2 linked regions of the Mus musculus genome follow. The protein of the gene in region 1 purifies or fractionates together with the protein of each later gene. This does not show direct contact. Links are inferred from orthologs where the notes say so. Each region holds a gene or a part of one and is shown on either strand. Other genes may lie near its edges.

Region 1 (4,226 bases):
TGGGTGGGTTGGGATTACTACTTCAGTAACGAGGTAAAGATTCTGTACTAGGTGTTAGGCTTATTCACTGGGAGAATGGGAGTGCTGCATTAGAAGTTCCTGAGACAGGAGGCAGCTAGTGATGGGCTTGAGACTGCAGCGATGGGTTTCAGAAATGGGAAGCTAGGATGGAAGGATGAGGGGTCCTTGAGGTGGACCAGGACCGTCTCGGGGTAAGTAGCAACCACCGGGGTGGAAATATCCCATACTTGGGGGTTGACAAGATCTGGTAGGGTGAGGACAGCACAGTCTCAGGTGGTGACCTGTGAGGCAACCAGAGGAAGACGAAGATGGGAGTCAGGAGAGATTATGGGATCCAGGGATTATGGAGTCCTTTCTGTGGTCCCAAAGCGGCTAAGGATATCACAGTCCAGTAAAGGCATCGGGGAGATGGGCACGACCAGGAAAGAATTTGAGAAAAATCATCCTACAAGAATTCAGGGAAGTGGCATGTGGGGCTTGGAAAACGAATGAGAAGAGGGGAAGGGAGCAGTTCCCAGAAGGCCAGGGGCCCAGCACAAGGGGCTTTAGGCTCAATTCCTCCCAGGTTCTCAGCATCCAAAGAAACAAGCCAATTCAAGCCGAATTAGAAAGTATAAAGGCAGATTTATTGAGAGCAGCACTTGAGTAGGTTCACAGGTCCCAAGGATGCAGGAGGGAGCAGGGAAATGGCACACCTGGGCGAAGGTAAAGGGGGGTTTCAGGTCTTAGGCAAGGGGTGATGATGTGTAAACTCAGAGCTGGGGTGGTGTCTACATATGGTCAGAAGCTGAACCCCCTGAGCAGGCACTCAGGTAGTGTTGCCAGAAACTCGAAGGTGAGGGTACTGGCCTGTTAGCCTGGAGCAGGCAGGATTAAAAGAGAGGCAGACAGTGTTTCCCAGTTTGTGCAGGGTGAGCAGGGATGGGTTACAACCAAACAGTCTGCTAGTCCCATCACTGTCTCTCCCTTGTGGGACACCATGGAATGTAGCGGCTGGACATATTTGCATCACTGGATGTTAGGTGGCTAAATGCCAGGCCATGGGAAGGCTAGAGCCAGGATGTACTCAGACCTCAGTTCTCCTTCCTCTGGGTGACTCAGGGCTGGATTCAACCCCATCTTCCCTTCCTATCCCACACAAGGGCCGGCTTCAGAGAATTTGAGTGGCTAATTGGGTTTATTTGGGGAAAGCAAAGGGTCAAAAGGAAGCTTTGCTTGAACATGCATATGAGTGTGTGTGTGTCAGCATGCACACATCCTGATCAAGGTCATTTCACTGACTGACACCATCTGGGATCTCCAGATTTCAGAATCAGATGTGGTTCTTGGGACCTAACGAAGTCCAGGCTACATAAAAAAACAAACAAACAAGCAAAGTATGAGATGACGTCTAGGCCCTATCCACTGGACCCAGAAAACCCTTCCCCTTTCTCTCCCCAGCAGCCAGGGCTGCATTACCATCCTCATTTATCCCTCTCTTCCTCCCCTCTCCCAGGGGCAGCGTCCAGCTCACCTAGTCACTTGGGAGTCACGTGGTTCCCCAAGTCCCCATGTGGCCCTCTCCTTCCCATGCTGGTTCTAGGTCGTCAGACTTATCCATGTTTTCATAAGAGTCTGCATCTGGATAAGACCAGGAAAAGGAAAGTGTAAATTGGATGAAAAGGATGCTGGGGTAGAGTGGGGGAGGGAGGGGGAGGGGGGTGTCCAGAGGACAACGAGAAACAGTGCAGAAACACCCACCTTCTTCATGACTGGGACCGGACTGAATTGAGTGGAGCTGAGGAGCTGCATAGAGGATCCCTCTCATATCTTCATAGGACTGGGACCCTGTTTAGGCATGGGATGGAAGATTAGAGACCCAGAAATTCTGCTGGGGCTTGGGGGAAGGGAAGTCCTGCCTACCCACGGGAGAGGAGCTAGGCAAGAAGTCGAAGTTCCTAATGTCAAACTAGGACTGATTTGTCAGCATCAAGATCCTACTTGGTTCTAAGATGGCCAAGGCCAAAGGAAGGGTCAAGAACAGAATTGGGAGGAGTCAAAGTCAAGCTCACAGGAAATGATACAGACAGTTGGGGTCAAGGTTGAAGTCCACTTTAAACTGGGGTGAGGTGAAGGCCAAACTCTAAGAGAGAAGGTATTGAGGTCAATGCTTCAGTCGGTTGGCTGAGTGTGTTTCGTTACATTTTTTGTTACAAAGCTTCAGCCTAGGCTAGCCTGGAATTCACAAAGTACCCCAGACTAGCCTTAAGCCCATGACCATCTTTCTGCCTTAACTTTCCCACAAGTTGGAATTCTAGACATGAACAGTTATGTCAGGTTCATTTTGGGTCAAGATTGGTCTTCAAGGTTAGAAATGGCAGAAACACGGGGAAACGGGATAGAGGTGGAGTTGGGAATAAGGTCTAAGACCACTGTTAGGCTTGGACTTGGAGATCAGAGCTGAGTTTATATCATCTGAAATTGACCCTAGAAGGATGCCCTAAGCACTCTCACCAAGCGAGGATGCTTCCCGGCTGGGGTCCCACGCAGACCCATGGGGGCTCAGGAAGTCTGGAACAAGAAAAGAGACAAAGATATCACTTTTTTTCCTGGTCTCCAGCTTCTTCCAAGAGTGACAGCCCTCGCTCACTCAAATACACACCCATCATCCTGCCAACTGGTTGGGCCAGCTCCTCATCTGCATTTTCATAAGACTCAGCTGTGGAAGAGAGAGCGCAGGAGTTGCTCAGGCAGTAGGAGCCCTGCAGCACCAAGCACGTTTTCCTAGCCACCAACCCTACAAGGACACCACATTACCATTGGAGAAGGAGTCTTCTTCCTCTGGACCCATGGGCTCATCCTCGGGGTTCTCATAGCCACTCCCATCTGTTAGAGAATGAGGGCATCTTTAGCAAAGGTTGTCAGCCATCAGCCTACTGTTGAAGTGTCAGGACCAGGGAGAATGGGGACTCACCCTGGGAAACCTGGTCCTGCCCAAGGTTGGAGTCGTTCTCATAGAATTCAGAGCCCTCCTCGCTGTCTGGCTCTTCATAGGCCTCCCCTTCTTCTTCCAGTCCTGAATTTGGGACCAGTGTGGAGAGCTGAGCGGTATCTCTCTTCCTCCACCCACAGTCCACTAATCCCACCACAGGCTGCTCCGACACTCTCAAGGTGAGGAACAACCCTTAAATCTGACCTGTTTCATGGCTCTGAGCTCCAGTATCCTGGACTTGAATGCGTGGATTTCCATAGGACCCAGGGACACTCCCTAGGCCAGCAGCCCAACGCTGAGCATGGGCTGGTGAAAAGAGAGATTTAAGATGCCCATCAGAGGGAAAGGAGACAATGCTTCAGAAAGCCTCTGTGTGCCTGCATAACCGGCCTTGAGCCATGGGGAAGGGATCAAAATCTGAGCCTTGGCCTCAAGTTCTAGGACAAGGCTGGCTCTGGCCAAGGTCCAGTGGCTAGACTTGGCTGATCTGTTGAGATTTGGTCCTGGGCTCTGCTCTGGGGAAGGTTCTGCTCTGAGAAGATTGGAGAAATGAGGACAAGGCATAGCTGGCTAGTGCCGGAGAGAAGGGTGCGACTTGAAAGCCTTTCAAGGCAGTGGTCCCTCACCCTGGCCAGAGGTAGATGTAGGAAGGGAGAGCACATTCCCGTACTGGTTCTGGGTCCCGTTTCCCGAGGGAGGCGTCACTTTGAAGAATCTGGAGGGAGAAAGGGTTGGTGTACCTTAAGGCTCAACCATGTAGGGATGCCCAGCTGCAGTCTATTCTGGGAGTTAAGTGTGTAGGGATGCCTACCCAAAGAGTTTGGGACCATGCCAAGGGAGGTGATTTTGAAGGTGGCTTCCAGACTTGGGCAGTATTTCAACCAAGAGAGATGGCACCAAGGCCCACCCCACGTGACAGAGGACAGTGTAAAGCTTATAGCGGAAGGGCGGGCATTTGCTACTTTACCTCCTGGCGGGGTCAGTCATTCGCTTCCTTTTCCTTCTCAGGATAAAGGCTGGTGGGATTTAAAGAGATGGATCAGGAGAGGGGTTGGCAGGCAGGAGGTGAATTTGGGGGACACGGGGGAGGTCACTTGGGTCAATAGAGGGGATGGTTGTACAAATACCAGGGACCCCAGGAAGTATGAGAGACAGTAAAGGAGGGATGAGGCTGTGGGGTGCATTAGATTGGCCAGTATGGGCTTGTCCTAAGAAAGATGGGGTAGAATTCGGG
Region 2 (4,545 bases), about 17 Mb from region 1:
GGTCCCCATCTCTGCACGTGCAAGAACTATTCTTGCCCACTTTTAAATAAAAAGAATCCTAAGAGACTCCCTCCTGGAGACTCAAATGACTTTTAGTGTGATATTACTCCAGCATTTGGTGACTAGTGTTACTTTTGTTGTGACACCACTTCAGCCTCCAAGAACTATAAATGTGGACACAATCCTTCACTGTAGCAGCTATACCAGCCTGAAGCCAAAACAAATGCACAAATTAACTCTCAAGAAGCCTACTAGCCTAGCCGAGTAGAGATAGCTCCACCCAGGCAGCTACTGGCCAATCATCAGGTTTACATGTAAATTATACATAGTTCAAATTTTCGCCCTTTAGACAACTGGGCATGGTGTCCTAAACCTACAGTCTCAGCACTTAGGAAGCAAAAGTAGACAGAGCTCTGTTCCAGGAACCAGGGCTACATTGTGAGATTCTCATTCTCTGTCTGTCTGTCTGTCTCTGTCTGTCTGTCTCTCTCTCCACATATATATTATAGATATTCCTTTCCTTTGTTTAAATATATATGTATATCTATTCCTTTTTAAACATATTTCCAGTGTCCTGTAGCCAGAGGGGTGCCAGGTGTGATCTCCATAGGGAACAATGTCCTTAACTGCTCAAAGATTTAAGAACATGGAGTGACCTGGAAAAGGCTGAGTCTTGGGAACTGGTCCTTCCATGGTTCCCAGTGAGTCTAATGAAGCAGCCCCATTGCCCTTCAGTTTGGGGAAGGGAATGCCAAGATTTCACAGGAATATCATCTATGATGACAGCAGCCATTCCTCACCCGGGAAGGAAGCACCTCTGCCCTCTGAATCTTTCCTCACTTCCTTATTAATCCCAGCTTTCAGGGAACCAGCTAGAGGATGGAGGATGGACTCTTGGAAGGCACAGCCAGGATGGCATGAATATTTGAAGGTGCCCCTGAGGGTTCTCGAGCCTAAAGACTGGCTAAAGACATTGGGTACACTATTGACCTTCCCAAATGCAGCCTCCAGAACTGCAGCCAGGAACTCTATCTGTGAGATAGGGGATTAGCAAGGCTACAAAGAATTCCATTCTAGACCTTCAGGCCCACGGAGTTGCTGCCTGGGAGATCAATATACACAAAACATGTTAACTTTTAAGACTCTTTACTGTCGAGACACCTCCACTAGGGTACCCTCCGGGAAAGTCCAAGGCGTCCGAGTACCGGAGGAAGTAAGTGTGGCTTCTTTGGGGCAGTATCTTGTGGCCAGTTCTTAGTCGCGACCCAGAAGCCTGCCCCGAGGGTTGGGAACCCTTAAGAAACTTGGAGATTCATCCTGCGCACGCACAGTGCACCGAGTCCCCAAGAACCAGCTGCACCAAGTTCCAGAACGCTTACTCTGGGACTGAGGTGGCAGCACCCACCCAAGTACCCCTGGTCCGGGCACCCCGCGGGCGGAAGGCGGGGCCAGGGGTGGAGCGTCCTCTGGGCGGGGCCTCGGAGGGGCGGGACCTAGAGGTCTATAAAGAGTGAGGAGCTAGGCGCGCGCGCCCGGTCCGAGCGAGCGCGTCCTTGCTTCAAAGAGATAGTGACTCTCGCGCCTCCGGCTAGGCCTCCAGCCCTTCTCTACCCTACGTCTCATTCTCCGCAACGCAGTTCTCCGGCCCGCAAGCGCTCCAGGCTATCTGCCAGTCCCGGACCCCGGTACTGCGTCCCCATACCGCCCGCTCCAGGACCAATCCAAGCTCCGCAGGCCGCGCACCGCCATGGGGGTGGAGGGCTGCACCAAATGCATCAAATACCTGCTCTTCGTCTTCAATTTCGTCTTCTGGGTGAGCAGCCACTGGGGACAGGGCGCACCCCACGGTAGCCAGGCTGGGCAGCGCGCTAGGCCCTGCTGAGAAGGCGCAGCGCAACCGCGAAGTTGCGGCGCCACCTGTGGGCTCCGTGCGCCGATCGGGGTCCTGGCGCCCCTCGCCAGCGGGTTGAGGCCGAGGGCTGAGCTTCTGGGCCTCGGCTCGAGGGGCTTCTGGGGCCGGGAAATCAGGGGATCGCTGGCCTGTCCCCTCTGAGTGCTGGGAACTGGTGCAAGAGTCTGCGGGCTAGAGCCAGGTAATCAAGAGCCCTCAGCTATGAAGGGGGTACTCGCACCCTCCTGAATGTTGTTTTGGGGACCATCCTGCATCGCGAGCAGTGAGGGGGGTCGAGAAGGGCGGGATCTTGGCGCCCCGCCCCCATGAGCTCATCCTAGCCACCGCCCCTGGATAGGCGGCCTCGAAGTGGTGGGGGCACGCTCCGTACTTGCCTCGGAGACCTCAACCCCACTATTACTCCACCCTTGCTTACCCTCCAGCTTGGTATTGCCACCCTGGGGGCTCGAGCTCCAGGCCTAGAAGGCAGGGCAGCCCGGGCCGCGTGCTGCTGCGCACGGTGCCCCAGTTCTTGGCCACCCCCACCCCCATTCCCCCAGCTGCCCCTCCTCCTTGCCTGTCGTCTCCTGCACAGATTACAGCCCCGGCCTGACCCTTAGATCCTGAGAGGAAGAGGGTATGCAGTTCTGAGTTGGTGAAGGCCAGGGTGTTGCAAAGATCTGGGATCTGTACAAACCAGGAGCTTAGGATCTTTTCCTATATACAGGATCTAAGCTGGGCTCTCCACTTTGGAAAGAAGTGCACACCCATTTGGTCATCTTGGAAAGGAGACATGGGTATAAGAGGGTCTCCAAGTGTCCCTGGGTCCTGACTGTCTTCACTGCTGGGGAGTAGCCATTGGTGGTATGGGCTTCTTTCCATTTCCTAACTGGGTTGGGAATGGGGAGTCTTAACAGACCTGCCTGCGGGCACTTGAGTGAGCAGTGCTGGCCACTCCTCTGGACAGTGGTGCCACCCTCCCTGCTGCAGTGCACAGACTGCTGTTCCCACCACCCTCCTTCCCAGGAAGAAATGAGGTTATGCCAAGACAATGTTTCTCTAAAGTTGTTCCTGAGAGGGCAAACTTGTACAACGGCCCCTGGAGTGAGTGTGTTGGACAGGGGACACCTGTTTTCCATCGAGGACTGCTGAAGATCCCAGGGCGGGTCAGGGTGGGGTGGAGGGGAATAAGACGTTGGGGATGGGCAGGAACTGGGCTGAACTCAGCTGGGGCTATGTATGCTCACGCGGTGCTGCAGGGACCAAGATTGTCAGTCACGGTGACTCCAGAGAACACATTCTAGGGAGCAGCATGGGCGATGGGGTTAAACTTGCTCTGCCCGGGCATGCCTTGGGGTCTCGACTGGGTAGTCATGTTGGACAGTGCTTGCCTACTCTGAACCATGCAAGGAATTGAATGCACCCTCAAGAAGTGTGTTATCCACCCCACCCCACCCCCATTATTCTTCAGATGTGGGATGTCAGGATCCTGTAGGGTATTTCTTTCTTTCTTTTTTTTCTTTTTTTGCTCACCCACCTGATCCAAGCGCTAGACCCTCAGACTCCCTGGAGTGCTGAGGCTGGGTGAAGCTGCTCGTTTCCCAGGCAGCTGGGGTGGAGTCCCAACATGTCCCTGGGGTCTCTATTGAGGCTCCAGGAAACGGTTCTGAAGCCTCTCCCTGCTCCCAGGGACCTGCCTACTGACTGCAGAACAGTGAAAACTGTAGCCTTTCACAATCCCACAGACCTCTCCTCCCTACTCATGTTGGCCCCACAGTGGATAGGGATGTGGAGCAGAACCAGGCTACAACTGGTGGACACCACCCTGGCAGAGGGACTCCTTTTGTCCCTCGTGTGGCAAGGTTTGTACTGTGGCTGATAGTTCCCTGATATCATGAAATTGAACCTTTGGGGAGCCCCACCCCACCACTCTGGCCCTTAGTCTTCACTTCCTCCCTCTAAAGTGGGAGTTCTTGGGGGTCTCTGTCTCCTAGGATTGTGTGTAGACTAGCTAATGTACTCCAGAGTGGGGCAAGGGGCTTGGAGCAGAGAAGGCTCAGGAAATGGACACTGGACACAGTCTCCAAAAGGGAGTGGGGCCAAAGGAAGCTGAGCAATGATGTCAGAAGGGCCTAAGGAGGGGGCTGAGAGGTCCTTTGGGCCGTGGTGGGGGCGGGGGCTAAGAGCTCTAAGAAGGGAGATTTGGTTGACAGTAAATGTTTCGATGGACACTTTTTAAAATTTCCAGTTTGAAGATTAAAGTGGTTTCTCTGTGGGAGGGGACATTCCGGGCACACTAACCTGCCTGCTGTCACTCCCACCAGTCCTCCTTGGGCTTGAGTTCAGAACCTATATTGGGGCCAGCAGAGTTCTGGACTCCCAAGATATATGGGGCAGGACACAAACCTGAAAGATGAGCGGTGAGCAGCAGAGACCATGTAAGATGCTCTTAGAAGCAGGGTGGTTACTCATCCCCTGAGACAGGTCTGGGATTAAGGGTCCAGTCTCCTCTGGCAATAGTCACCGGCTGGCAATAGGGCAGGAGAGCAGGGGATGGTTTATCACTGTGCCAGCCTATGGCCTCGGGTGGGTCTGTAGGAGCTTTGTGTGACAATGTCTCCATAGGAGTAGTCAGTTAAGGAGAAGAATCTTCA

What was found.
Region 2: the proteins of Cd19 (region 1) and Cd81 purify together in Homo sapiens (affinity purification with western blotting, with the first as the bait; 3 studies listed by BioGRID). This does not show direct contact. The link is inferred for Mus musculus from reciprocal best matches to the Homo sapiens genes CD19 and CD81.

What each region holds. Positions count from the first base shown.
Region 1 is NC_000073.6:126,407,823-126,412,048, forward strand, and holds the end of Cd19 (B-lymphocyte antigen CD19 isoform 1 precursor), read right to left. Parts: intron 4,009-4,226; coding exon 3,960-4,008; intron 3,708-3,959; coding exon 3,619-3,707; intron 3,299-3,618; coding exon 3,197-3,298; intron 3,077-3,196; coding exon 2,975-3,076; intron 2,887-2,974; coding exon 2,818-2,886; intron 2,720-2,817; coding exon 2,663-2,719; intron 2,572-2,662; coding exon 2,515-2,571; intron 1,849-2,514; coding exon 1,762-1,848; intron 1,642-1,761; coding exon 1,550-1,641; 3' UTR 1,535-1,549; intron 1,369-1,534; 3' UTR 626-1,368; downstream 1-625. UniProt on the Homo sapiens protein: Functions as a coreceptor for the B-cell antigen receptor complex (BCR) on B-lymphocytes. Decreases the threshold for activation of downstream signaling pathways and for triggering B-cell responses to antigens.
Region 2 is NC_000073.6:143,051,254-143,055,798, forward strand, and holds the start of Cd81 (CD81 antigen), read left to right. Parts: upstream 1-1,496; 5' UTR 1,497-1,747; coding exon 1,748-1,813; exon of another isoform or gene 1,814-2,433; intron 2,434-4,545. UniProt on the Homo sapiens protein: Structural component of specialized membrane microdomains known as tetraspanin-enriched microdomains (TERMs), which act as platforms for receptor clustering and signaling.